Linked DNA regions of Coturnix japonica. The protein of the gene in region 1 interacts with the protein of each later gene in a pairwise test. Links are inferred from orthologs where the notes say so. Each region holds a gene or a part of one and is shown in the gene's direction. Other genes may lie near its edges. The genes, in order: DISC1, NEFM, KIF3C, EEF2, CEP170, TRIO and GNB1.

Region 1 (3,992 bases):
TATGACAAATTGATCTCTGAGTGATGGGAGCTAGTACTGATATAAGCTGACATCATCTGAATCAGCAGCAGCACTGCACATTTGATGAAAGGAGGATGTGTGTCTATTTTTGGCTTGTGAGGCACAGCTGTCTATTATATTGTCTCATAAGTCAGGAAGGGCAGAGCCTGGAGTATGAGGTTACATCTCTCTTAACACGTCCTGTATTTCTTAATAAATGGACTGAAACACAAGAATATCAGTAAGCTCTTAGCTGTCAACTAAAGCGAGGCTTTTCTGTAGCAGTGTCTCTGAATGTCATAGAAACTTCTCAGCACACAAGGTGATGTTTTAATGTATGGTAGCACTATGCATAACTGAGAAGGCACCTTTGAAGTCTAGGATGGAGGGCACCTTGAAAAATGCTTAACATGAAATTAATACTGAAAAATGGTTGATATAGTGAATATGGTGATAGCCAAGGAGTGATTCAGGTTGGATAACAGGGAAAATGTCTTCTCCCAAGGAGTAGCGAGGCACTGGCACAGGCTGCCAGGGAGGTGGTGGAGTCACCATCCTTGAAGGTGTTCAAGAAACGTGGCACCAAGGGATGTCATCTAGTGGGCATGGTGGGGGTGGGCTGATGGTTGGACTGGAGGATCTTAGTGAAGTTGTGGTTTGACTTCAATGGATCACAGACTTGCAAAAGTAATAGCGATAGGACAAGGGGGAATGATTTTAATTAAAAGATTTAGATCAGATATCAGGGGAATTTTTTTCGCTGGGAGAGCAGTGAGGCCCTGGCACAGCTGTCTGCCTGGAGGTACCTGAGGCCAGGTTGGATGGGACCCTGGGCAGCATGAGTTGATGTGGGGCAAGAGGTTGGGGCTGGATGGGCTTTAAGGTTCCTTCCAACCCAAGCTGCTCTGTGACTCTATGAGAAGTAATGGAAGCACACACAGTGCAGACACTGGTGCCAAGTTGAAACTACATATAGACAATGAGCAGCGTGTTTCCTCGTTGTGTGCGTGCCGTGCTGAATTCAGAAACGATCTGCAGTCGGGGCTTCGGGTCCCAACCTCCATCTCCCCCTGCTAGTCCAAAGCCCGTACGCTGCAGGCTTGAGGCTGCCCCCGGCTCGCAGGAGGCCGGCCCGGAGGAGGGGCGGCGGGTGCCGTCGTGCGGGCCGCGCCCCGTGGCTCCGAGCCGCCGGGGGAGTGGCCGGGGCCGTCGCTTTCCGCCCCGCTCGACGCGACCGGGGGGAGCCGCTTCGTCCCGCCGGGGGGCGGGATGTGGCGGCCGCAGCCCCGTTCGGACGGCACCGACAGGCGGCGCCGCGGCAGCGGGAGGGAGGAGACCGGCCCAGGTGAGCGGGGCCGGGGGCTGAGGGGCGGCCCAGCGCCTGGGAGGGGGGCCGGGGGCCGGGAGCGCAGCGGGGCTGTAACGGTGCCCGGTCCGTCCCGCAGCGGCTCTCCCCGAGGCAGGAGGGGCTCCGAGTGGGATCCGAGCTTCGGGTGGGTAGGGCGGCTTTGGGACGCTCGGTGCGGGCGGAGGGGTTAGATACAAAGACTCGTTGCTTGCTTCTTAGTTTCAAACCCGCTTTGCTTGCTTAGTTTTCACTCCCCGGAGTTTTTGTCTTGGCGAGGGTTAGCACGGTGTTGCCTAGGAAACTTTGTTATAACTCTGAAATAACACTTTTTTTTTTTCCTTCCTCCTTGTTTTAACCCCAAAATTCCACCTCTGTTAGTGTGGAAGCAATTATATTACTACATAAATGTGTGTGATTTGTAGGTTTGTATGTATATACACAAACATATATAAGTGAGTGTGTATATGTATATACATCTACATAACCAACTGCTGTGAGGGAAGTAGACATGCTCTTAGAAGTCAGCAGTCTGGTATCTCCGAACTTGGTTTAAAAAGGAAGCTGCCATATTCGTGGGGAAAAAGCCACGTTTGTGTGTCAGTCCTTGCATAAATGAGCACTGAATGGTGTGGCTGGCAGAGCAGGTGAGCTGCTCTCCCCTCTATTGCTCAGCTGTCAGCCTGAGCAGGAGTCATTTCTGATAGTAGTACCGGTGAGGGGCTGGAGCTGTGGGTAACACCAGAAAATAGCTCGATCTTCTCAAAGGGATTCAGAAGGGAAGGCGTAGAATGCATCAGGCACATCAGCTGACTTTCTGGCTTTTTTGGATACACAGTACTGCAAAGCAAAACTTCCTGCAAACACTTGAGTTGTCCTTGCCAACATCTCAATGGAGAGCAGCTCATTGATGTTGGGTAATCCGTGCTAATCTGTGTGTACATGTGTTTGAGTAACTTTTTGCTGTGCTTCTGAACAGTGCTTTAAGAGCTCTTTAGTGAAGTGCCTTTATAATAAAAGCTTTTCTATGCATATAAGTGAGCATATACTGGCAAGCACTGCTGGCAATTGAAAATAGAGTTTTGAAAGAGATGCATAAACTACCTTGAGATGCATTATCTCTGTTCTTGTCTCTTCATATTTGTCCGTTTACTTGCTAATTTGCAATTGGCCTTTCAGTAACTTGTGAAAATGGAAGAAAAGTTCCTCTTTATTCACTTTTGTGTTGTGTAATTTCCAAGTCTAGGTAGTTATTTCATATCAGTGTTCCCCCATATTATTGCTGAAATCAAAGCTGTGGTTTCTTTTGGGAAGAGACTGATGGTGGTGTTACAGCCCGAGTTCCAGTCATCATTTCCTATCAATAGGATTTTTAGGCAGTTTTGAAACTAAGAAGAAAGGTGTTTAAATATGTGATTTAAAGAGACAACTAGCTGAGCTTAGAGGTCTGTGATCCTCTAAAAAGTGGGACTGGTGGATGTAAAGGAACCCACAGATGTTCTGTGCATTTGATATTGTCGGTGTCCATCTCTGTGTGTTTTTTCTTGCTTTGTGTTGCTGTTAAACTTACTCATTTTTTGTGTAGTTCCTTTAGATTGGCCAGTGAAAATAACCTACTGGCATACACTGTACTACTGAGTTACACAGCAGCACAACACTCTGAAGTGTGGTCATAGACAAGCACTGTATTGCCACTGGCTTCTTCCCTCTTTAACTTCACATAAATCAACCTTTGTTCCCTTCAGCAAAATGAAGTCAGAAAGTTTGGGCCTAAGACGCTGCCTCTGGAATTGTAGTGGAGTCGTGCAAGAAAAGAGGATTTATTAACACCAGTATGAATTAATTGTAATGAACAGAAGGACGGAAAAGCACCGCAAACAATGTTTTGTACTCACAAAAGCAGAGCACCCTGAAGGTTAATTCTGACTTTGTTCACAAATTAGGCACACTCGGGTAGGTTTTTCTTTTTGCTCACCGTAGCTCAGGCCTCCTGCAGCTCTCGAACCACCTGACCTCCCAGTTGGGATCTACTGGAGTGTGTGGTGCACCCTGAGTGCTCATCAGGAGTTAGGATTTTTCTTTTCATTTTGGCATTTGGTTTTCTTGAGCAAATGTTCATCCCAATTGAGTGGCGGGCAGTCTGCAGCCTTTCCTGCTTTTGGATGTTGTACATATTAACACCTCCTGTGACAACAGCTTTCCTTGCTTCCTTTGGAGTACCAGGCCCAAAGGTAAACAGGGAGGAACCTGTGGTGTTGCCATAGAGATTTCCGAGTTCATCCTTAGCTCTTTGCAGAGAGCAGCCCTTTCTTGCTGTGTCACCTGGATTAGGATTGAGCCTGGGGTATGCTGTAATACTACTCAGTGTTCTCGAAGGCAAACTGCTGCAAAACCCTTATGTGTGAGGGATGAATGTGTCCTTTGTAAATCAGCAGTCACACAGGAAAAACTTGGCTCTCTGGTACTGAACAAAGGCTGCTGTGCCTGTGTGAAGTTCTGTAGTATCCTTGTTTGGAGGTGCTTACTTAATTCAGTGTAACATTTAACAGTGTGCTTTGTGCTCTGTTTTGTCATATAGGCACAGGTTGTGTTAATTGCTCACCTGAAAAGTGCTGTCAGGGAGAGATGTTTCTTTACCAAGTCTCCC
Region 2 (4,289 bases), on another chromosome or scaffold:
TGACAGCATCATATTAATGAGCCAGCAGAGGTCCGGCACTCCATGTGGTTTGCAAAGTTTAACCCTGTCCCTCAGACTTCCCCAACTCTCCACAACAGCAGTAGCAGCACCACGAGCTGTGTGTGCCGAAAAGCAATTTTGAGGTAGGATTTTGTCCCTTAGCAAATCAACTGAAAGCTCACAGATTGCTGAATACAGGCAGACGTGTTTTCAGCACCTTTCCAAACGAGGAGTTAAAACCTACCCCCCCAAAGCTCTGAAATGCAATGGAGCTGTAGCAGTGCAGTGCTTTTTTTCTAGCGCCAGCAGTTTATTTATTTATATATCTATACATTTTCCAGTTTACTGATCCACTGCCCATGTAGCTGATCCATCCACGAGGAGTTCAAAGTCTGGCTGTTAGCTACTGCAAGTCACCGTATGCAGCCCACAGAAAGTCTACTGCACCGTGTAAACATCATTCTTAGCAATGTTTCAAAGTAGGAGAAGTCATTTCTAAGCAATGCACCAAGCGTTATGTGGAAAGGTAAGGTGGGGGGAGGAATAAAGGGGATGAAAGCGAGATAAAGAACCAAGATCCAGGACTGCAGGGAGCTTTCCAGCACTACCCAACCTGCAACCCCTACCCCATAGGGAGGTAAAGCGCTTGCAGTGCTGCAAATCCGCCCGCAGCCCACGCAGTCTCCCTTCCCCGGATACTTTTATGACCTTCAAATGTCAACCACTGCCTGAGGAAGGGGAACTGGGGCGGGGGGAGTTGGTGGGGGGAAATGAGGAGGGGGCTGCCCATGGGACCCTCTATTCACCCCTACCCCCGCCCGGGGCCAACGACGGAGCCCCGGGGGAGCTGTCCGTGGTGCTGAACCCCCGGGGGAGCTGTCCGTGGTTCTGAACCCCCGATCCCGGCCCCGGCCCTACCCTGCGGGCTCCGGCACCGCGCTGCGCTCCGCCATGGCCACTGCGGGGGAGGAGAAAGAACAGAAGGAAAGGGAAAGGAAAGGAAAAAAGGGAAGGAAAGAAGGAAAGGAAAAGGGAAAGGGAAAGAGGAAAGAGGAAAGAGGAAAGAGGAAAGAGGAAAGAGGAAAGAGGAAAGAGGAAAGAAAGTGAAGATCTAAAGGAAGGTGAGGGGAGAAGGGGGCTGAAGCATGAGTGAAGGAACACGGAGAAGGGAAGAAGGGAGAAAGAGGAAGAGAGAAGAGGATGGGAAAAGGAGGATAAGGATAGGGAAAGGAGAAAGAGGATATGGAATAGGGAATGGGAAACAGCGGGTAGGGGGGAAGGGGGTAAAGAGGGTGCAGGGGGAAGGGGGAGCGGGGGTCGGGGAGCCGGGAGCTGGGAGCGGGGGCCGGGAAGGGATGGGATGAGGGAGGCGCGGAAGGGAGGGCGGAACTGAGGGGCGGAGCTGAGGCAGGGTCGGGGGCGGATACATCCTCACACACGTGTGTGGGGCCGCCCCGGAGCCGCCCGGCGGGGCTATAAAAGGGGCAGCGGCATCCAGAGCTGCGCTGCGCTTCCGTCCGCCACCCCCCGAGTGCCCCCACCATGAGCTACACCATGGAGCCCTTGGGCAACCCCTCGTACCGCAGGGTGATGACCGAGACCCGAGCCACGTACAGCCGGGCCAGCGCGTCCCCGTCCAGCGGATTCCGCTCTCAGTCGTGGTCTCGGGGCTCCGGCAGCACCGTATCCTCGTCCTACAAACGTACCAACCTCGGGGCTCCGCGGACCGCTTACGGCTCCACCGTGCTGAGCTCCGCAGAGAGCCTCGACGTGAGTCAGTCCTCGCTGTTGAACGGGGCGGCCGAGCTGAAGCTGAGCCGCTCCAATGAAAAAGAGCAGCTGCAAGGGCTGAACGACCGTTTCGCGGGGTACATCGAAAAAGTGCATTACCTGGAGCAGCAGAACAAGGAAATCGAAGCGGAACTGGCGGCGCTGCGGCAGAAACACGCCGGGAGGGCTCAGCTGGGGGATGCCTACGAGCAGGAGCTGCGGGAGCTGCGCGGGGCCCTGGAGCAGGTGAGCCACGAGAAGGCACAGATCCAGCTGGATTCGGAGCACATCGAGGAGGACATCCAGAGGCTGCGGGAGCGTTTCGAGGATGAGGCTCGGCTGCGAGATGAAACGGAGGCCACCATCCGCGCCCTGCGTAAGGAGATGGAGGAGGCCTCGCTGATGCGGGCGGAGCTGGATAAGAAGGTGCAGTCGCTGCAGGACGAGGTGGCCTTTCTGCGGGGCAACCACGAGGAGGAGGTGGCCGAGCTGCTGGCTCAGCTTCAGGCGTCCCACGCTACGGTGGAGAGGAAGGACTACCTGAAGACGGACCTGACCACGGCGCTGAAGGAGATCCGCGCTCAGCTGGAGTGTCAGTCCGACCACAACATGCACCAGGCCGAGGAATGGTTCAAGTGCCGCTACGCCAAGCTGACGGAGGCGGCCGAGCAGAACAAGGAAGCCATTCGCTCCGCTAAAGAGGAGATCGCCGAGTACCGGAGGCAGCTGCAGTCCAAGAGCATCGAGCTGGAGTCGGTGCGTGGCACCAAGGAGTCGCTGGAGCGGCAGCTGAGCGACATCGAGGAACGTCACAACAACGATCTCACCACTTATCAGGTCCTGCGGGGAGTGGGGTGCGGGCTGGGGGCTGCGGGATGCGGGTGGGGGGAAAGCCGGGGGTGCGGTCCCAACCCGCTGCTGCCGCCCAGTGGGTGGGAAGGACTTTAGGAAAGTCTCGCCGCAACTTTTCTTTCCCCCTTTTCCCTTTCTTTATGTCTTTGTCGTGATGGTTTGTTCTGTCTCGGCTGCAGGACACGATCCATCAGCTGGAAAATGAGCTCAGAGGAACGAAGTGGGAGATGGCGCGTCATTTGAGGGAGTACCAGGATCTCCTCAATGTCAAGATGGCCCTGGATATCGAAATTGCTGCATACAGGTAACAGGGGGATCGTTGTGGGCATGTCTGGAATATTAATAGCACTGCAGAGGCTGCTCTGAGATGCTTTACCACCAGCGAGAAGTATCTGTATGCGTTGAACACGAGCCAAATTAGAGCTTGACTGAAGTACTGCAGCCCTTTCACAATGCACAGACTCAAAAGTGTCTGCAGCCAGGAGGACAATGCAGAACTCCCTATATGCACACTGCACCTCAGTGCTGCACCCTGCGCCTGTTTTGCAGTAGATGAGTTTATTTTTAATTCCTGTTTACTTTGCATATGCCTTGCAAGCGGTGCTTGTCACTTTTCTCACTTGGGAGAGATGCTGTGCTTTGCTTGATCATGGTTTAAGCAGGCAGCGCTAACCTGCTTGTCACAAACACTTTTGCTTTTCTTGCTCAACTTTCCTTTGTCACGCACTCTGATCTGGAGCAGGAAAGCTGTGTGCTATTGCCATCACCTGGCAGGCTTTTGGTCTCTCTGCATCACTTCAGAGACCTCATCAGAACTGCTGATTTTTCTGGGTCAGAGGCTTAGATGAAAAATATACATTTGAATATGAAAACAGTCAAAAGAGAAAGCTGCTTTCAGATCTCTGTGAACTTGAGGCTGTTGAGGCAAGCATAGGCATTATAGGCTCTGCAGCTCTTTGCTGCCTGATGTGACTTGTATTGCTCTGCAGCCCCATTGTATGGCTAAAAGCAGAGAGGTGGGGGTGCCTACAATGAGCTTGGGTGTATGCTTGGCTGGCTTTGAAAGTCTCAGCAATGATGTTCCATTTGGGTCCATTCCATTCTCAGTTCACCTGAGTCATGATGCGTCCTATGGAGTTAATCACTTTCTTTGATGCAAAGGATGAATTTCAACTGCTCAGCTAAAGGTGATATGCTTGCTACATGCAAAGCAAGCCAAAAGGTGCTTGTTCAGTAAGAATTTACTGAAAGAGCTGATTAGAGAGAAGCAGATCTTGGGCTGTGAGCGATGGATAGTGCTGGTCTTCTCTAGCATATTCTACATGCGCTGACCTCATCCTGCTGACAGAGAGAAACATTGTCCCGTAGGTTGGGTTTCTAATGCTCACTATTTTTCCTTCCTGATTCTCTTAGGAAGCTGCTGGAGGGTGAGGAGACAAGATTCAGTGCCTTCTCTGGAAGCATCACTGGACCCATATTCACACACAGACAACCATCGGTCACAATAGCCTCCACTAAAATACAGAAAACCAAAATCGAGCCACCAAAGCTGAAGGTCCAGCACAAATTTGTAGAAGAAATCATCGAAGAGACAAAAGTAGAGGATGAGAAGTCTGAAATGGAAGATGCCCTTGCATCTATCGCAGAAGAAATGGCAGCAAAGGCTC
Region 3 (3,500 bases), about 60 Mb from region 1:
CATCCTGCTCGGACAGATGTGCACTGTTGCAGGCAGACAGATGTGCACTGTCCTGCTCAGACGGATGCGCTCCATCCAGAGGAGGCAGCAGCCTCCATCTCAAAGCAAAGCTCCCAGCATCTGCCACATCCATGGTGTAGCCACAGGGGGACAGTGCCATGGGCTGTAATGTCAGCACCACAATCCTGGGAGCTCAGGGCACAGGCCAGTGCTGGAGGAGTTATCTGGAGGCAGGAAATGGGTTGCAGTGAGAGGCTTAAGGGTTCATCTGTATTAAGGAAGATTGAGCGTCGTCTTCATCACAGTAAACAAACACTTCTGCAGGGAGAAAAACAACAGGACCAAAAGACCATTCCTGCAGCAGCAGGGTGGGGCAGAGCTGGTTGTGGGGTTTATGGCCCCTCTCAACCCCATAGCAGCTCACCATCACATACTGCAGGTGCTGCATGCCAAAAGTACCCATGCAATAGCTGGGAAGGGAGAAAAAAAAAACAGGAGAATAATAGGGAAAATGCAGTATTGCCCCAGATAATTTACATGCAGCTCTGTGGGTTTGCCCCAGAAACCTCCGTGCCCAGGAGATGCTGTCCCCCCTTTGCACCACGTCACCGCCCGCGTGTCTCCTGGTTGCTTGGAAACAGCAGTGAAGGGGTCCCGGGGGGGCACAGCCTTTGTCACATCCCATGGTCCAAGGGTGTGTGCAGATGTGTGGGTGTAAATGTGTGTGTGTATGCACACAAATGCCAGCACACGTGGGCGTGCGGATGTATGCGTGCAGCGGTGTAAATTAGCGTGCGCTCGTGTGTGCACAAATGTCGTGGACATGCAGAAATGTGTGTTAGGTGTCGCTGTGTGATGTAGTGTAAAAAACAGAAAGAAAACTGTGTGTGTGTGTGTGTGCGCGCTCAGTGATGTGTGTGCACAGCTGTGTGATGGGGAGCACGTTTGCCCTGGGGAGGGGGAAGGGAAATGCAATTGGGAGGGGTAGGATGGGGTGGGTTAGGATGAAAAGTGGGAGGTGGAGAGGTAGGGGTGGATGGAACTATGGAACGGGATAGGGAGGGGTGGAGAATGGGTTGGAATGAAGTGAGATGGAGTTGGATGGGGTGGGGTGGAATGGGGGGGGTTGGGATGAGATGAAGTTGAGGTGGGATGGGATGGGATAGGACAAGAAGTGATGGTGGGATGGATGAGGGGTGAAGTATAGGGATGGGGATGGGGATGAGAATGTGAGTTGAGATGGGATGGACTGGGGTGAGGGTGGGGTGGGGCAGGATGGGAATAAGGGATTTGAGAAGACTGGAATGCGGAGGGGGATGGGACTGAGGGATGAGGATGGGGATGGGGATCGGAGATGGAGAATGGAATGGGGATGGGATTGGGGTTGGGTTAGGAGAAGATGGGATGGGAATGGAGAATGGGGTTGGAATGAGACTGGATGGGATGAGGAGAAGGAATGGATGAGACTGGGGTGGGGTGTGGGCGTACAGGCTGGGACTGGGTCAACCAAAAAAGCAATGGCAGCCCCCTGTACCCAGCACTGTGCCATCCTTCAGGCATCCTGGCAGAGCTGGAGTGGGGAGCTCAAATCAGAAGCACCGTGGGATGCAAACTGTGGTTGGGATGCACTTTTCAGCTCAGCTTGGCACAGTTCGGCTTGGCTCAGCTCAGCTGGGGCGGATGGCCCGGCGCCGTTCCGCACTGCCGGCAGCTGCTGCACATCCGTGGCGCCCCGCGGGCTTGCAGCTGTGCGGAAGGAAGTGGGAGTGAGGCAGCCCTGGGTTTGTGCCAGCAGCCAGCAGCCCTGGCCACGTCCCCACGGCGCCGCATCCATCAGTACAGGGAGCAGGATGGGGTTGGGGGGGGGGGCTCAGAATCACCAAACTATACAATATCCTGAGTTGGATGGGACCCTTAAGGACCATCCAGCTCAACTCCTGGCTGTACCAGAACCACTCAAACCTTGTGTCTGAGTTTTTGAACCCTTGGACAGTACATTGTAGAGATGCTGGAGGAATCCTGGACATATATAGAGACTGGAAGGAGCTGTTCTTGAGAGTAGCCCTGCAGGGAAGGACCTGGTGGATTCAAAACTTCTCATGAGTCATCAGTGTGTTCTTGTGGCTTAGAAAGCAAATGGTATCCTGGGCTCCATCAGAAGAGTGGTGGCCAGCAGGGATTGGGAGGTGATTGTCTCTCTCTGCCCTTGTGAGGCCCATCTGCAGTGCTGTGTCCAGGTCTGGAGCCCCCAGTAAAAGATAAAGAGCTGTTGGAGAGGGTCCAGAGGAGGCCACAAAGATGGTCAGAGGGCTGGAGCACCTCTACTATGAAGAAAGGCTGAAGGAGCTGGGCTTGTTCAGCCTGGAGAAGAGAAGGCTGTGGGGTGTGACCTCATTGCAGCCTTCCAGTACCTAAAGGGAGCCTATAAACAGGAGGGGAGTCAGCTCTTTACAAGGGTAGGTAGTAACAACAAGGGGAATTTGTTTGAAGTTCAAGGAGGGAGGGAAGATTTAGGTTGGATATCAGGGAGAAGTTCTTTACAGAGAGAGTGGTGAGGTGCTGGAACAGCTGCCCAGAAGGGCTGTGGATGCCCCGTCCATCCCTGCAGGTGTTCAAGGCCAGGTTGGATGGGGCCCTGGGCAGCCTGGGCTGGTATTGAATGGGGAGGTTGGTGGCCCTGCATGCCGCAGAGGGGTTGGAGCTTCATGATCTTTGAGGTCTATTCCAACCCAACCATTCTGTGATTCAGTGATTCCATGAGATGCACTGACCCCCCCCAATCTGCCCTCCCCAGGCCATGGAGAGCAAGTTGCTGATCGGCGGCAGGACCATCGTGGACCACACCAATGAGCAGCAGAAGATGCTGGAGCTGAAGCGGCAAGAGATAGCTGAGCAGGTAGTACCCCATCCATCCCAGTCCCAATGGATTGGGAGCATCCATGGGGCCAGAATGTCCATGGTGGGGCTAGGGGGTCCGTGGGGTGGTCAGTGCCCAAGCCAACACTGAGCAACCCCCCCTTGGTTACAGAAACGCCGCGAGAGGGAGATGCAGCAGGAGATGCTGCTTAGGGATGAGGAGACCATGGAGCTGCGGGAGACCTACACATCCCTGCAACAGGAGGTGGAGATCAAGACCAAAAAACTGAAGAAGGTGAGAGAACCAGGGAGGCTTCACTCGGGTGGGGAGGGATGTGGAGTTGCCTTTGGCTCATGTCTCAAAGTTGGGGGCATATGTCCTACCCACTATCCATGGGGACCCAATGCCCTGGAGGATGCTCCAGGCATGGTACTGGGGACACCTGTGCCACCGTGCCCTGCAGACACTCATGTCATCATGCCCTGGGGTAACCTGTGCCACCAGGGATGCATATGCCACCATGCCCTGAGGACACCAGTGCCTGGGGGTCAGCCATACCACCATATTTTGGGGACATCTGTGCCATAAGGTCATGCCACCATGTCCTGGCGGCTCCAGTGCCACTGGGGTCACCCATTACACC
Region 4 (4,230 bases), on another chromosome or scaffold:
GGATGGCGGGGAGGGGGGGGGCGGTCCCGGGGTGCCGCCCCCCAGCTCCCACCCGTCGAACCGCCCCGCCCGCCGCCGGTTCCGCGCTGTGAGGGGCGGCAGCTGAGCCCTCATCCCGCTCCCGCCCGGCCCGGTCTCTCCGAGCCGCCTCCGCCGCCGCCGTTCACTCACTTTGGCCTCCACCAGCTCCGCCGCCATCTTGGCCTCCAGCGTCCACCGCGCCGGGAGCCGCCGCCGGGTCACGTGACGCCTAGCGGCGAGGGGAGGGGCGCGCGGGAGACGCGTCGACCAATCAATTTCGAGTTCCTCACCTCGGAGGCCGCCGCCGCAACGCGCAGGCGCAATAGAGCCACCCCGCCCCGCTCCGCCTTCCGGGGGTCTTAAAGGGACCGCGCCCCTAAAACGGGACGGAGAGGATGGAGGATGCGGGGATGGAGGGAGGACAGCAGAGCTAATGACAGCTCTCCTGCTTTCTTTTCTTTACCTGTGGGCTGCCTTACATGGGTACGGGGAGAGGGAAGGGGACGGGTTAGGACTGAGGGTCATTATATGCCTATATGTGCTTATAGTCCCAGCTTCTGAGCATGGTGATATTTGTAATGTATTTAGCCTATGGGAGCCGGTGATGGGGATACCTGCCTGGCTGCCTTTCAGCCTAATTGACATCACAGACAGTGTGCTCGGACTGGCTTACCAGTGTCCTGAGTTCCTTACGTATGGCTGGGGTGTCAGGTTGGGTGCTGTGTTGTCAGTCTCTCTGAATACAATCCTAATAACAATAATAATGGGGTCCTAATCCTAATAATAACAATAACACAATGGGGCCAGCAGCGTGTCCCTAAGTTGCAGTGAGGCTCATCAACTAGAAAACATCACTCAAAACCCATCTATTGATAGAGGGATCAGAGGGCTCTATAGATAGAGGAATCTATTGATGTCTCAATAGAAGACCTCCAGTTTTCGAGCTGATATTTGCGCTCCATAACACAGACATCACACTACTTCCATCCCGTGCCTCCATTGCAGCCCCCTGCCCACCCCCGCTCCTCCCGGCCTGCAGGGGGCGCTAGTGAGCTCCATGCCCTCCGCAGTTCCGGCCGGTGCATGCGCACCTAGTCCATAGACGCCGCTATGGGCGGTGCTCGCCCAGCCCGGCCCGGTGCCGCTTTGGACGGCCCAGCGCTCCGGGTAAAGGCGGAGCCGCTCTCGAGGCCTTGAGCAGCGCCCCGGGCACGTTGTCCGGGTTGTACCCGCTGTGACCGCGTTGTTTCCGCTGCGGGTTCTGAGCGGGGACCGCGTGGATCCTGACTGCGGCCCTCGGAGGACCTGACCGCCCGACCATAGAGCTGCCGGCAGCGGGGGGTGCTAGATAGTCGCATCTGCGCACGCGCACGCGTAGGCTCCTCCTTCCGGCCGGCGCCGCCCTATAAAAGGGGGGCGGTTGACGTCAGCGTTCTCTTCCGCCCGCTCTGCGCTCGCCAGCGAGACAGGGCCGCCGCCACCGCCGCCATTGCTGTAACCCCCCGCCCCGGAGAATCCGCCTCCATCCGCCACCATGGTGAGGCCCCGCGTCCCGCCGCCGTTCGGATGGAGCTCAGCGGGTCCCGTGTGGGCTGTGCGGGTGGGGATGTCCGCTCCGGGAGGGCCGGGAGGGTCCCGCTGCGGGGCGAGGCCTAGCGCTGCGTCCCGGGCCGCTGTGAGGGGACACGGGTGGGGCCGGGGCCTGGTGGGGCGCCGTTAACCCGGCGCTCCGTGTATCCCGTAGGGCTTTAATTCCCGGTGCTGTGATGGGGGCCGGGCAGCTCCCGGAGCGATTACGTAACGCTGCGGCTCCTCGGTTTCCCCCTTTAATTAATGAGGGGTGAGGATGGAGGGGGGGCTGCGGTGCATTGAGCGCTGTCAGTGCGGGGGGGTTTGAGGACACATCGCTGGCTGCTGCAGTGCCGGCCCGGCGCTCTGCAGTGCCCTCAGTGCTTCATTCCTTGAGGTTAAACCTGACAGCGCCACGTAGGAAGAAATGGAGCTTTGCTGTTACGTAGCTCGTCTCCCATTCCTCCCTTCTTCCTTTCTTTCCAAGGTGAACTTCACGGTAGATCAGATACGGGCCATCATGGACAAAAAGGCCAACATCAGGAATATGTCAGTGATCGCACACGTCGATCACGGCAAGTCGACCCTGACTGATTCCCTGGTGTGTAAAGCTGGGATCATCGCCTCTGCCCGCGCGGGGGAGACCCGCTTCACTGACACCAGGAAGGACGAGCAGGAACGGTGCATCACCATCAAATCGACGTGAGTGCTGCTCCTTCGGGTGCCCCCCTGTTCCCATCGCACGGACTGACCCTGGGGGTGCTTTGAATCCTACCCTGGTTTCACCTTGAGATGAAGATGATCCCATCAGCCTTTCTCTTGTCTTGTTGTTCAGAGGTTTAGGTTTATTTTTCTTCCCTGCGTGGATTGCTTAAACAAAGGGGCAAGTATTGATTGCCCTGTGGTGAGTCACTGAGCGTTACCTTGATGGCTGCTGGGAGATTGACGTGCTCCTGCAGTGTGACTTTGGCCTCCTGTTTCTGGCACCAGCTGTGTGTAATGGCGCTGGTGGCTGTGAGGTTTGTCTGGTGAGCAGCTGACCTCCTTGGGAGTGTCACTGCCTGCAGGTCCAGCTGCCTCACCATGGACTGATGCTGAGGAGGTGGGAGGGACCAGAAGGGATTTAGGCTGGTGGGAAAAGCAGCTGAGAGGAGGTGCGCTCTATTTGGCAGCTCACGATATCAGGGGGTTATGATTTCAGGGAAGCATAAAAAGCAGAGGTTTTTGTGGATGCTCCTGAGCATCTTCCCCACTCGCCTCTCATGATCATTTCTTCCTGTTATGGGAGGTTTAGGTTGGATCTTAGGAGGATGTTTTTCACCCAGTGGGGGGTGATGCACTGGAACAGGTTGCCCGAGGAGGCTGTGGATGCCCCATCCCTGCAGGCATTCAGGGCCAGGCTGGATGTGGCTGTGGGCAGCCTGGGACCCTACACACAGCAGAGGGTTGGAACTGGATGAGCATTGGGGTCCTTTTCAACCCAGGCCATTCAGTGGTTCATGAAACCCTGGAAGCTGGATGCAGCTGTCTGAAAATAAATAGTAAAGGATACAAGAATGTTTCTAACTGCTTTTGCTTCAGAGTGTTGCAGAGGGGCAATGGGGTGATACTAACAGCTCTTTTTCCCTTTCAGAGCTATTTCTCTGTTCTATGAGCTCTCTGACAACGATCTGGCATTCATCAAGCAGAGCAAGGATGGTTCTGGTTTCTTGATCAACCTGATTGACTCTCCTGGGCACGTGGATTTCTCCTCGGAGGTCACTGCTGCTCTGCGTGTCACTGATGGTGCCCTGGTTGTTGTCGACTGCGTCTCTGGTGAGGTTTTTGCAGCCATGTGTGACTGCAACCTGAGTTGGGTTGATCTGAAGGTGAGGAGAACTAATTGTCCTGTGTTGGGCAGGTGTGTGTGTGCAGACAGAGACTGTGCTGCGTCAGGCCATCGCTGAGAGGATCAAACCTGTCCTGATGATGAACAAGATGGACCGGGCACTGCTGGAGCTGCAGCTGGATCCTGAGGAGCTGTACCAGACCTTCCAGAGGATTGTGGAGAACGTGAACGTCATCATCTCCACGTATGGGGAAGGAGAAAGCGGTCCAATGGGAAACATCATGGTGAGTGAATGGCTGTGGGTGCCCCTTCAGCAGGAGGGAGCAACTGTGTTTGGTAGCAGTGCTTTCCTCCCTCCAGGGGAGGAGTGAGGCTGGAGAAGTGGAGGCACCCATGCAATGAAGAATAGAAACACAAGTGTGCATTCTGTCTAGGAAGGGGTCCTCCTCTTGAAAGGTCTTTCCTTGCTCACCTGACACGGGGCACAGGCCCTGCACTGCATGAGGCTGGATGGCACTTGGGGATGTTGATCCCTTCACTCCCTGCTGGACTCTGAGCTGAGTGCAAGGCCTGTTCAGCTGCAGGTCCTGAGGAAACCTTTGTGCTTTGTTGCTGTTGAGAAACAAACGAATCGTAGATTTTTCTACTGGTGTTTCCATTAAGGATTACAGTCTGACAGGTCTAAGCAGATGTTGAGCCAGTCAGTCCCTCTGGGCAGGTGCTGTCACAGAAGTGCTCAGTGCTTCTGTAGCTCTGAAGCCCCACCTTCAGGCTCTTGGTGGAGGCTTGCAGTGTGTTTGGTTTGCCTGGGC
Region 5 (3,964 bases), about 4.0 Mb from region 1:
GTGACCTCATCACTCTCAGCAACTGCCTAAAGTGAGATCGTAGTGAGGAGAGGGTTGGCCTCTTCTCATGCATAACTAGTAATAGGACTAGAGGGAAGTTGCACCGGGGAAGACTCATGTTGGACATTAAGAAAAATTCACTCTCAAGACGAGTAGTAATGCACTGAGACAGGCTGCACAAGGAGGCGGTGGAGGCATTCAGGAATTGCGTGGATGCGGCACTGAGAAACACAGTTAGTGGGATGATGGGGACAGGTTGGCAGCTGACCGGATGATCCAACAGGTCTCTTCCAACCTTAATAATTCAGTGAAGTTCGTTACAGAGCACCTCAGAAACCACCAAGAGAGCTGCAACTCGTGACAAACAGCCCGTCACAGCAGTCACAGCTCACCAGACAAAACACTTCCAAGTTCGTTCTAATTTCACTAGAAGCTCCGACTCCCGCGAGCACTTGATGAAAAACCCAAACCTCAGGAAAGCCACCTCGGGCCGCTACAGCGGAGCGCAGCACAGCAGCACACGGCAGCACGGCAGGAGCCGCAGCGCGTCCGACCGCCGGCGGGCTCCCACCCGGTGCCGGGCCGTGCAGGAGCGGCCCGTTCTCACCCGCCCGCAGCGCCGCGCTCACCTCGGAGCCGCGCCTGGTAGCGCTGCAGGGACTCCTCCAGGGCGGGCTGCCCGCGAGGCGCCCGCATCGGGCCGCCACCGACCGCCAGGAAGGAAGGACGCGCACCGAACTTCCCGGCGCTGCCCCGCGGCACTGAAGAACCGCTACTCGCACGAGCTCCCTCCCGTTGCTACAACACCAACCACCAGCCGCACCCCGGTACACGCGATACACAGCCCGCCCCCAGCCGCTCGGTGCACGCTGGGAGGCGTAGTCCCCACCCGCTCCCCATGACGGGGACCCGCACCGCTTCCCTTCCCCTCTTTGTTGTGGCTGGGCGCTGACGCCGCCCTCGCGCCTGCGCACTGCGCACTCCTGCCGCCCACGTCCCCGCTCCCGCAGCGGCTGATGGCGGCGCAGGCCCCGCTCAGACCGAGGGGCGGCGCCCGCCGCGCTATTGTCTGAACGGGGCGCATGCGCGGCTCCGCTTCCCCCGGCTCTGCCCCCCGCGCCTGCGCGGCGCCGTCCGCCCTTCGCGCCCCCCCCGCATTGTGTGAGTTGGGGCGGCGCCTGCGCAGCGCGGCGCGGCTGTGCCCGTTAGCCGCTATGTGCCGGGAATAACGTTGCCGCGGTTGCCGGAGGAACGCGGAACGGAGCGCCCCGCCCAGCGGGGCCGCACGCTCAGCGAACAGCCGGAGCCGCCGCTATCGGCAGCGGGTCGTCCCCGCGGCGCGGAGAGCCTCCTCGGAGGGGTGAGCGGGGGAGCGGGGGGAGAAGCGGGGCCGGGGTCGCGCCGCCCATTGTGTCAGCGGGTGCCGGGCGGGCCGCGCGCCGCAACGCGGAGTCCGGTCGTAGCCGCGGGGCCCGGAGGCCGCCCCCGCCTCCATCCGCCCTCGGCATCGCGCTGGGAGGCGTGGGGCGGCGGCGGGGCGGGATGCGGTGCCGCCCCTCCGGCCCTGGCCGCCGGCACACACCCCCCGAGCCGCCGCCGCGCCTCCCTCGGGTCCCAACGCGCCCTCGGCGGCGGTGTCCGCGCTACGGCGGTCAGCTGACGGACAGGGCGGCTGATGGAGAACGGCCGCCTGCGCCCTCTCCCCATTGTGCAGCCCGCCAGGCCAGGAGGCTCCTCTGCTCCGCGCCGTCCTCCCGTGTGTCCTCGCTTCTCCCCTTGGTGCAGCGCGGCACGGCCGCCCCCTCCTCCTCGCGGGCGGTCGGGGCCCTCACGGGGCCCGCGAAGCTCCGGGCGGGGCGGGATGGCGCGGTTACCGAAGCCCCGCAGCGCCGTGCTGCTCGATACGGCGTCACGGGCTGTGGGTGCGATGCTGCCGAACGGGAGACAAAAAGAGCAGCCCCCTTGTGACAGCCCAGGGAACACAGAGAGCAGCCGCCGCACGGCGGTGTGAAGGTGTTTTCTTTGCTACGAATAAATATTGAAGCGGTTTGTAAGACGAAAACGTGCTGCTGGCACCGTGGTAGACAGTGGACATGGCCTTCCGAGGGCCGCTCTGACAGCGCTGCTGGCCCAGAGCTCGCCTGTGTGGGATGGGGCTCCTTGTGTAAACTGAGCTGAGGCGTGAGCGCATATGCAGCGATTTCCTGTGATTAATTTCCTCTGGGAATTGCTGTCCAGATGCTGAGGAGCCCAAACTGCGGGGAACTGAGCTGTCACCATGGGAGCTGCTCAGCTTCGAATTCTATTTAACAACGGTTCTGTCTGAAAGGGGTCACAAAGCCACCTCACTGGGTGGGGAGAAGAGCGTGGCTGAAGATGCATAGAAATCTATCCAAAGCAAAGCAATGAGGTATTATTGTGTTTTTTCCCTCTCATTTCTCAACTACCTAAAAGTTATTTGTAAGGGATCGGATACAAATATTTTCTCATTCTTTTAAGAGAAATATTATGGTTTACAAGTTGTTACCAAGCTTCCTTTCTTGTGGCAGCACAGGGATTTCTTTGATGACTGTTCCAGTTGTTTTGCAGGTGCCGCCTGCCTCCCTTATCTGCTCAGGCTGAGGTTTGTGAATCAGAGTAGTTTCTCACTATCTTGTGCTTCCGGACTGTGAGAGACGTGGCATAAAGGATTTTAACAGTTCTCTTGGTAACATATGAGCTGGAAAAGAGCCAAGTTATGAAAGGGAACTACAAAAGTTGATGTACGCTTGCAGGTGGAAGCTGGGAGCTTCCCTGAGTGACAAGAGCTCAATCTAATACATGGGTAGCTGCAGAAACTGATTTTGAAGTTCCATTTCTAGTTTTTGCAAACAGAGGGGAAAAGTACTTAATGTGAATGGATACCACTATGTCTGCTTGGGTCCCTAAAGAGAACTATTGCAGTATCAGCACCACCTTCCTTGGCTCTGCAGGCAGAATGACACTGGAGTGAAAACAGACTAGTTTTACTTAAACCAAAAGGCCAACAGAATCTGAAATTCTGCTTTCTCAATAGAAAATGTTGGGCAGGAGAGCATCATGGCACAGATTCTTTTATCTGCTTCTGACATCTGTGAGCCGCTCTCTGTAGAACGTGCTGCTTGTTGTGCTAAATGTTGGTGTGGCTGGGACCAGGAAGCTGCAGATGAGGGAAGAAAGTCTTTTGTCTGTGAGGGATGGAGCTTCTGTCTGCTGAAGTCAGGTGCATGTCTCTTCTACAGCGTCCTATGGCTGTGCCAAGCGAGTCTGGGAGGTGTCTCTTGCTGCCTGCCAAGTTTATAATGCTCGTACAGAGCACCTGCGCTCCTTCTGGTCCTGTGGTTGTTGCTGTATCTTGCATTGTCATGTTCTTTGAACATCTTCGATGGCGTGATGTGCAGATAGCAGCTTCCTTCTGTGTGCAGCGCTCGTGCTGCTGTGGGTCAGAGACCACGCAGTGTGCTGAATGAGCCGGTTGTCCTGGGAAAAACAGAGCGTGGTCACATGGCTTGAATTGTAAGGTATAATGTATGCAAATGGGGCTGGGAGGAAAGCACAAACTACTTAATTAATCAGTTCTGTGTATGTCTGCTGTATAGACACAACAAAATATTAAAATCACAAATGTTTGGTTCACTTTTATCATATAGTTTCTTCCAACGTGTCCTCTTTTAAGCTGGGAGGCTGTTTTTATTTTAGAGATGCATTTATAGTTAGAGGCCATAAGACACTTTTATTTCAAATTTTGTTTGATCTTCAAAAAAATAAAACAACCAACCAACACGTAAATTAATTTTAAATTAATTTAAAAGCACATTTAAATTAATGTGCTTTATTTTAATCTTGCATTATGTCAAAAGCAGTTTGCCCCAGAAACTTCAAATAAAACCATCAGAGATATTTTATTGGATGGCTCCTGATGCTGCAGTGCTTTGTTCAGGCTCTT
Region 6 (3,500 bases), on another chromosome or scaffold:
CAAAAGGAGTTCTGTTAGAATTGCTTTCAGACTTGCTTTTAATTCTAGCTTCTGTTAGAACTTCACGTGAAGAAGTTAGAAACAACAGTGGTTTTAATGGATGGTGTTTATCAATATTACAACAAGATTATAAGGTATCTTAATGCACAGGCACAATACTGCATATGGATACTGATGAAAAAGTAGAGTGGTACAGGGACTCTGGCATTCTTCTGTTTATTGGGCACTCGTGGGTACAGATGACTTCTTCCAACCACTGTGCTTTATTTTCTACAATTCTTTTATAACGCATTTGCAAAGACATTAATTGTTTAATTTCTCCTTTCCAGCTTCTCAACCCCAATTACATTTATGATGGTAAGTTGTTTTAATCTTTAAAAGTCACAGCAAATGTAATGGGATTGAAACATCATTTACTTTATTGAAATGTATTTAACATGAATTACATCAGAAACTGAGTATTTTAGTGAAAATATAAGCAAGTTCATTTTGGAGGGTGTTAACAAAATATGACATATTATTTTAAGATGAAAGGAAGGCATTTTTGTTTACATATCCAAAACATCATAAAATATAAGAATCACATGACATTGTTCAGAAAGATTTACACTCTCTACCACATCTGTGCTGAGACTGTAAGGAAGTTGAGCATTGAAGCTGAATTTGCAAAATAAGGAGGTCAGGAGTTGGAGACCTGTCACTTCATTTTGCTCTTTGTTCCCTAGCAAACACTCAGAGTCTCTCCAGGGCAGAGGCTGATCAGGAGAAATACAGTGACACTGGGACAAGAGTCAGCTTCTTGAGTTTCACCTGTAAGCAAAAAGGAACAACAATATAGTACCTCAGTAAATGAGATGTTTTGTCTTCCCTTCTGCAAACACAGCTGGCTACACAGATTGCCTAGCTGAGCACATCCTTAAATACTTTTCACTGCTGGCTTTGCTTAGCTTACTTGGCCCAGAGTGTTTGGGTCACCACTGTAGACTTCAGGGTTACCTGGCATTGTGGTAGCATCATGTTTAAGTTTAATTAAGTTAATTCATGAAGAGGAAAAGTTATTAATTCTACAGAGCTTCAGAAAGTGAGGTAGCTGTAGACATCATCCAAGGGTAGAAGAATAGATAAACTCTGGATTTTAAGTGCTATGTTAGATTGTCTAATAGAAAAGAGAAGATGAAAGGAGTAGAAATGCAAATTGTACTGATGAATTTCAGTTGACCTAATGCTATTAATATTCTTTTTTTTTTTTTTCCAGTTCCCCCAGAGTTTATAATACCATTGAGTGAGGTAACATGTGAGACAGGAGAGACCATCGTGCTTAGGTGTAAAGTCTGTGGTCGTCCCAAGGCTTCAGTTACTTGGAAAGGTCCTGATCATAACACACTGAGCAATGACGGTCATCACAGCATTTCGTACAGGTACAGTAATTACTGTGTAGTACATTTCCTTGTCATAAAAGGTAAAATCATTGTCAGTGACCTCAGTGGCTTATTTGGTTTGATAGGTTTGGGGTGTCGCTCTTAATTATATCCTCCTCTTTTTCCTCTCAACACTGAACATCTCAAAAATAAAAGAGTGACATTTCAATGCTGTGACATGCCACACTGCCAGTCCTTTATTTCTGTTAGTAGTGTGCATCATTCTGAGGGCAGATGACTGCTTTCAGAATGATCACACGATAGTATTTTGCAAAGAAAAACTTCTGTTTCCTATTAAAATGACAGTGCTACCATCTTCATAATTGAAGCACGGAAACAAATGTTTTTGTTTGTTTTTAGCTTTGCTATAATAGAACTGAACAGACTAACTGGTAATTCAAACAAATGTGTAATAGCAGATATTACTGTATTTTGGAATCCTAAATTGCCTGTTGAAGAAGGGTTTTTTCTGATAAAGCATTCATTTATTTACAGTAAATATTCTTTACTGAGTAACTTCAGTGTGAAGAAATGTCTAGCCTATGTACTTGCTATGGGGAGACAAGGGCATTGTGATAGCTGTACTACTGCATCCACAACCATTATGAGATGAGTAGAGCTAAATTCACTAGGATTAACATATTGTGAACCATTTAGGGTGGTGAGGCACTGGCACAATTACCCCAAGGAGCTATGGATGGCCCATCCCTGATGGCTTTTGAGGCCAGGTTGAATTGGGACCCTGGGCAACCTGGTCTATTGGTTGGCAGCTCCGCCTGTGGCAGGGGGGCTGGAGTTGGATGGGATATAAGGTCCCTTCCAGCCCAAACCATTCCATGATTCTATGACTACTTTTACAGAATTATAACCAGTAAATCATTTTGGTTATGGCTGACAGATTTTAGTATAAAATAATTGAACATCCTTTGAGCTGTGGAGGAAGGTCATTTTCCCATGTTCCTAAAATTCATGTTCATATTTCCCCAGAAATGTGGCAGGGTAAAGACCATGGCAAGTGGTTTTTGTGCCAGCACTCAAATAACTCAGAGTAACTGAGATCCAAAGGCAAATAATAGGAACAATAGAAAATCTTGAAAATATGCTGTACTGTGAGTGTACAACACAGTGTTAGGGCTGTTTTGAGCCTTAGAGTTGAAAACCCTAGGGAAGGCCTGCCAAGTGTTTGCACTGCTCTTCTTGTCTCCACTGAGAGTTGAATGCTCTGGAAGTAGCAACATTAGAATCATAGAATGGCTTGGGTTGAAAGAGACCCCAAGGATCATCAAGTTCCAACCCCCTCTGACACATCAGGGTCACCAACCTCCCCATCCTACCAGGCCTTGAACACCTCCAGGGACAGAGTATCCACAACCTCTCTGGGCAGCCTGTTCCAGCACCTCACCACTCTCATAGTAAAGAACTTCCCCAACATCCAACCTAAATCTTCCCTCCTTCAACTTAAAATCATTCCCCCTCCCCCTTTTCCTATCACTGTCTACCATTGTAAAACGCTGATTCTTCTCCTGTTTATAATCCCCTTTTAAATGCTGGTAAGGATGCTATGAGGTCTCCTTGCAGCCTTCTCTTCTTCAGGCTGAACAAGCCCAGCTCCCTCAACATGTCTTCATAGAGGAGGTGCTCCAGCCCTCTGACTTAGTGGCCCTCCTCTGGACCCTCTCCAACAGCTCCACATCTTTCCCATGCTGGGGACCCCAGACTTGGATGCAGTACTCCAGATTGGGCTTCACAAGAGCAGGATAGAGAGGGACAATCACCTCCCTGTCCCTGCTAGCCACCCCTCTTCTGATGGAGCCGAGGGTAATGTTGGCCTTCCAAGCTGCAGGAGCACACGAATGGCTCATGTTCAGTTTTTCATTCAAAAGACACTTCTGAAATAGCAGTGACAGATTTAACGTTTGTGAAGAGAGAGCATAGGACCTGTACAGTAAGAAGTATTAATGTGATCACTCTAACTTCGTATAATTTCCATAGTTCAAGGTCTGTAAATTGAATATAAAGTTTATGGATGCCATTGTATTTCCCAGTGACTTAGGAGAAGCTTCACTGAAAATCATTGGCGTC
Region 7 (4,134 bases), on another chromosome or scaffold:
GTTATATTTCTGTGGTGACAGAATAGCATCAGTTTGGGGGTCTGGTTGGAGAGTCCTTTATTCTAATTTCTCAGGACAAAGAATTAAAGCCTTTGCTCAGCACTTGGCATATTTAAGGACAAGCATTAGATTATCATAAAACAAAGGCTTAACCACACCGGGATTGAACAGTTATTCCTAACAGACACCTGGAATGATAGCTCACCCACTTCCCTACAGTTTAATGGACAAACCTCTTGTTAATTACAGGTAATCACACCTGCCTTCCCAAAAAACATGATAGCAAGTAGCAGTTCAAATCTGCTCCTGTAGCAAGGCATCTCCTCACTGCCTGACTTAACAAAGTATAAGCAAATGGTGGAGGGGGGAAGGGAGGGAAAGGGATATAGATGTGCTGATAGGAAAAAGATATGATGCAATTGTGTACTTACTTTCCATCAATAAGTAATGATGTTTTAATACGTGAGTGCTGCTGTGATCCCATCTTGTGAACCTCTCTCCTGATTCAGCTGGGGGAAGTCTGCTCTGTGAAACAGAAATTGGATTTTTTTGGGGTTTTTTTGTGTTTTTTGTCTTGCTCTTTTCTGCAATGCCTTACAGAGATGAGCGTTTGTGGGGAGAATATGAAAACAGTGATAAAATGGGGGAAAAAAACCCCAAACCCTGAGAATTCTGGCTGTGCAAAAACCTTTGTGATACGAATTCATAAATAATAATAAATAAAAAACAGGAAGTTGTGAGCTGTGTTGTACCACAGCCTGAAATCTGTGAGGATAATACTGTGACACAACAGGGGTTCGTTTCTTTCCAAGGCCTCGAGCCCCATCCCCTACCATTACACCTAGCAGCCGCCAATTCTTACATTTAATGCTCTTTAACCGAAGTAAAACGGTGTGTGCTGCTCCTCCAAACCTCCCTTTGTCCGTTGAAAAAGCAAAAACAGCGCTGTTGATTGTTCTTTTGCTCCGTTTTCACACGCCCCGTTTAACTCTATGAGGGGACGCTGTGAGGGGACGCTGTGGGCGCGGCAGCATGGCGCGGCGGGGCAGAAAGCGAAACCCGCCCGCGCCCTTTGTTCCTGCTACGGGGAGGAACCAGCGGGAGGAGGCGGCGATGGTTCGAATCTCCCCTTCCTGTCAGCTCAGCCTTCCTCACCGACTGAGTTTGACTGACTGAGCAGCGGCTGCCGCCTTCGAAGCAGCGAGGCCCGAGGCGCAGCTCAACGCCGTCGGTGCCGGCGCCACCGCCCGTAGGGGAACGGAGCGGGGCGGAGCCGGGGGCCGGCTGCGGGGCGGAGCGGGGAGCCGAGCCGAGCCGGGGTTTCCCGGCCGGGCAGTCACGGGCGGGGCGGAGGGGGGGGGAGGTTAACCGCGCCCAGGCTCTTGCTTCCCGATGGCTGCGGGGAGCTGAGCGGGGTCCGAGTGTACGAGGAGGAGCCGAGACCCGGTGGTACCCCCGCCCCGCTCCGTCGCTCCTTCCGTGTCTACGCCCCGGCCCGCAGCCGTTCTGCCTCAGGAGCGCAGCGCGGGCGGCTTCCCCCCTCTCCCCTCCGCCGCCGCCCCTTCCCCTCCTCAGGCCGGCGGGGACGCGGGCAGGAGCCGCGGGCGACGGCTGGAGCGGCCCTGTGGATGAACAGCGGCCGGAAGGGCAGGTAACCGTGTGAAGGGACGCAGGGTGGCGGGCGGGGCGGCCATATAGAATCCTTTGGCGTTCCTATCTCCCCGCAGGGAGTCGAGCCTCCTCGTCGAGCCCCCCGTCCTCAGCGCGGCCCCACCCTGAGGCCATCTTCCCTCAGCGCTCTCCTCCATCCCTGGTTCCTTCTTCCTCTGCGTGGCTGCGCCCTTCCACCCCGCTCCCCTCCCCCCGTTCTTCCCCATTGCTGCCGCACTTCTCTTTTCCCTCCTTCCTCCCTTTTTTTTGTCGTTTTTTCGCCTTTCCTCGCCCATCTTCTCCGTCTCCTCAGCCCTGGGCGGGAAGGGCAGCTCGGCGCCCTCAGCATGGCGGGGTGGAAGGACCCCCCCTTCCCCCGCTTTCCCCCATCGCCGTTCGAGCCTCCCCTAAAAAAGAAGCGTGTTTAGAGCCGGGAGAGGAGGAGGAGGTGGAAAAAAAGGTGGGGGTGGCACCGCTGCTCTCCCGAAGGCGAAAAAAAAGAGAGATTGGGGGGGGGGTGGGTTGGATTTTTGTGGGGTTCCATTTTTAATGATCCTTAAGGGTTGGGGGGGTGAGGACGGTGTGAGTTTCCAGAGGGATCGAAGCGACGGGAGGAGGAACGTTGGGAAGAGAGAGTGAAGGAAAAGAAAGGAGCTGTGGTGTGGCTGCTGTAATGGTGGAAAGCTGACGGAGAGAGAGGAGGGTGAGGCACATGCGGGGTGAGACGGCTCCAGCCCTGCGTGTGGGGTCCTGGGGGGGGGGAACGAAGGGAGGGGGACGGGCAGAAAACGTTTTGTTCCCGTTAAAATGGGAGCCAGGATGCGTTTTGTTGGCACATCCTCGTTCCCCCCATCGCTCTGCATATCGCTGTGCTTGTAGCAGCCGTCAGGAAGATCATGGAGGGTGTTTCCTGCAAGAGGAAAAAGGAGCTTTTTTTCTCCTTGAAGATGTTAATACCGCCTCTGCTCCTGCTTTATTATCGATGGTTTAAAATCTGGTTTATTTCGTCTCCTTTTTAACCCGTGGATTGGGGGTTTTAAATGGGAGGGTTGTTATTTCGTGCTGTGAATTACATTAAAGGGGGAAAAAAAAGAGCCTTTTAATTAAAGAAATAACCCAGCAAGAAATCCGAACGATCTAAAAGATGTCAATTTATTATTCCCGAGGGCGATCTGAAATCTTAACAAACGTGATGTTTCATTATTATTCTTTAGCCATAGGTGGGACTGCTTTAAAATAAGGCATTCTTATGCCACGTTATTATGTATTGTCCCCACAGCAGAAAATAGGAGGAAAAGGGATTGAATGTGAGGGGTCCTGGGGATGGCTCTGGGGAATTGATGCCTCAGCTCGGAGATGGAAAAGCGAAAAATTCAAGGTTTTGCTGCCCCTAATCGTGAGACTTAGCCCTTATTTGAAGCTGATCTGGCAGCCACAAGGATGTGTGCATGGAGACAAAACGCTGCCGATGTGTGTGAAATGCATTGCAGAAAACGCAGCCTCTCTTCAGCTCTCAATTGGTTCGAAATGTGACATCTTAAAGGACTTCTCCCCCCCCCCCCCCTTTGTGCTTTAGGAGAGGAGAAAGAGAAGGGACGATAATAGTGTGGTTGTTTTGGTGGCTGCCGATTAAACCAGGGTGTGTGTTTGATTTTCTTTTCGCTGGGAATGAATGGATCTTTCTGTGCCTGGGCCCAGTAGCTGCAACAAGATGGCGTTTGCAGCAAGGCAGCTCTCATTTTTCAACTCCTCCTCACCACAGCTTGGCCAAACTCGATCTTATTTCGTAATTGTATTTAGATTTACTTTCTCGTTGGGTTTGCTTGCTTCTTTTTTTGGGGGTTAAGAGGGGCAGGAGGAGCGTTTGGGAGATTATTGCAAGAAATCGGTGGGTTTTTGTTTTATTCTTTTTTTTTTTTACGTTTTTTTGTGAGCCTTTCCAGATAGGAACTGGGTGGGAGGAGTAAATAGTTTTAGTGTAACATTCACATCGGCCGTTCCTGGACAAAGAGGTGACACAATTTTGAGGTTTTTATTGTGTTTTTTGTGTATTTTTTTTAACCTTGCAGTTCCTGCTTAATACCATCAAAATGTTCTTTGTTTTTCTTAAGCCTGTTGCTGGAAAAAAATGGTATTTTTAACCTAGAAGACAGGTATGCAAAGGCTTTCCTGCCTTTGTGCTGCTGGTTCCTGCTGCTCAGGTAACAGCCAGGTCTCCTGCAGGCGGTTCCCTCCATGGAACATCGAAATCTCCCATCGAAATCTCCCATCTCACTCAGTGCTTGTGGTGGGCGGAGGCTTTTTAGGCTTCTTTTGGCCCCAAATTGTTACCATCCTTCTGTATTTTTATGGGTATGAGTAAGAAAGGCTTTAGGGATATTAAAACAGTTCTGTGTCTCTGTGATACTGTAAGATAATATGGAGATTTATGATATTATAGCTTTGAATTTATTTTTTTTAAGGACCTTGGGTTGATAATTTTGG

The links.
Region 2: the proteins of DISC1 (region 1) and NEFM interact in a two-hybrid assay, tested with the Homo sapiens proteins (2 studies listed by BioGRID and IntAct). The link is inferred for Coturnix japonica from reciprocal best matches to the Homo sapiens genes DISC1 and NEFM.
Region 3: the proteins of DISC1 (region 1) and KIF3C interact in binary tests that used the Homo sapiens proteins (3 or more experiments, as listed by UniProt). The link is inferred for Coturnix japonica from reciprocal best matches to the Homo sapiens genes DISC1 and KIF3C.
Region 4: the proteins of DISC1 (region 1) and EEF2 interact in a two-hybrid assay, tested with the Homo sapiens proteins (2 studies listed by BioGRID and IntAct). The link is inferred for Coturnix japonica from reciprocal best matches to the Homo sapiens genes DISC1 and EEF2.
Region 5: the proteins of DISC1 (region 1) and CEP170 interact in binary tests that used the Homo sapiens proteins (3 or more experiments, as listed by UniProt). The link is inferred for Coturnix japonica from reciprocal best matches to the Homo sapiens genes DISC1 and CEP170.
Region 6: the proteins of DISC1 (region 1) and TRIO interact in binary tests that used the Homo sapiens proteins (3 or more experiments, as listed by UniProt). The link is inferred for Coturnix japonica from reciprocal best matches to the Homo sapiens genes DISC1 and TRIO.
Region 7: the proteins of DISC1 (region 1) and GNB1 interact in a two-hybrid assay, tested with the Homo sapiens proteins (2 studies listed by BioGRID and IntAct). The link is inferred for Coturnix japonica from reciprocal best matches to the Homo sapiens genes DISC1 and GNB1.

Annotation. Positions count from the first base shown.
Region 1 is NC_029518.1:35,652,806-35,656,797, reverse strand, and holds the start of DISC1 (disrupted in schizophrenia 1 protein), read left to right. Parts: upstream 1-1,192; 5' UTR 1,193-1,269; coding exon 1,270-1,345; intron 1,346-1,376; exon of another isoform or gene 1,377-1,493; intron 1,494-2,159; exon of another isoform or gene 2,160-2,237; coding exon of another isoform or gene 2,238-2,262; intron 2,263-3,992. UniProt on the Homo sapiens protein: Involved in the regulation of multiple aspects of embryonic and adult neurogenesis. Required for neural progenitor proliferation in the ventrical/subventrical zone during embryonic brain development and in the adult dentate gyrus of the hippocampus.
Region 2 is NC_029537.1:2,110,435-2,114,723, reverse strand, and holds the start of NEFM (neurofilament medium polypeptide), read left to right. Parts: upstream 1-1,489; 5' UTR 1,490-1,542; coding exon 1,543-2,607; intron 2,608-2,801; coding exon 2,802-2,926; intron 2,927-4,035; coding exon 4,036-4,289. UniProt on the Homo sapiens protein: Neurofilaments usually contain three intermediate filament proteins: NEFL, NEFM, and NEFH which are involved in the maintenance of neuronal caliber.
Region 3 is NC_029518.1:95,741,717-95,745,216, reverse strand, and holds part of KIF3C (kinesin-like protein KIF3C), read left to right. Parts: intron 1-2,794; coding exon 2,795-2,896; intron 2,897-3,028; coding exon 3,029-3,151; intron 3,152-3,500.
Region 4 is NC_029543.1:792,036-796,265, forward strand, and holds the start of EEF2 (elongation factor 2), read left to right. Parts: upstream 1-1,430; 5' UTR 1,431-1,555; coding exon 1,556-1,558; intron 1,559-2,077; coding exon 2,078-2,292; intron 2,293-3,223; coding exon 3,224-3,405; intron 3,406-3,490; coding exon 3,491-3,702; intron 3,703-4,230. Other genes in the region: E3 SUMO-protein ligase PIAS4, read right to left, coding at 172-198. UniProt on the Homo sapiens protein: Catalyzes the GTP-dependent ribosomal translocation step during translation elongation.
Region 5 is NC_029518.1:31,700,207-31,704,170, forward strand, and holds the start of CEP170 (centrosomal protein of 170 kDa), read left to right. Parts: upstream 1-1,164; 5' UTR 1,165-1,360; intron 1,361-2,296; exon of another isoform or gene 2,297-2,410; intron 2,411-3,964. Other genes in the region: SDCCAG8 (serologically defined colon cancer antigen 8), read right to left, coding at 630-696.
Region 6 is NC_029517.1:54,052,804-54,056,303, forward strand, and holds part of TRIO (triple functional domain protein), read left to right. Parts: intron 1-329; coding exon 330-357; intron 358-1,255; coding exon 1,256-1,418; intron 1,419-3,463; coding exon 3,464-3,500. UniProt on the Homo sapiens protein: Guanine nucleotide exchange factor (GEF) for RHOA and RAC1 GTPases. Involved in coordinating actin remodeling, which is necessary for cell migration and growth. Plays a key role in the regulation of neurite outgrowth and lamellipodia formation.
Region 7 is NC_029536.1:1,629,005-1,633,138, forward strand, and holds the start of GNB1 (guanine nucleotide-binding protein G(I)/G(S)/G(T) subunit beta-1), read left to right. Parts: upstream 1-1,334; 5' UTR 1,335-1,651; intron 1,652-2,183; exon of another isoform or gene 2,184-2,353; intron 2,354-4,134. UniProt on the Homo sapiens protein: Guanine nucleotide-binding proteins (G proteins) are involved as a modulator or transducer in various transmembrane signaling systems.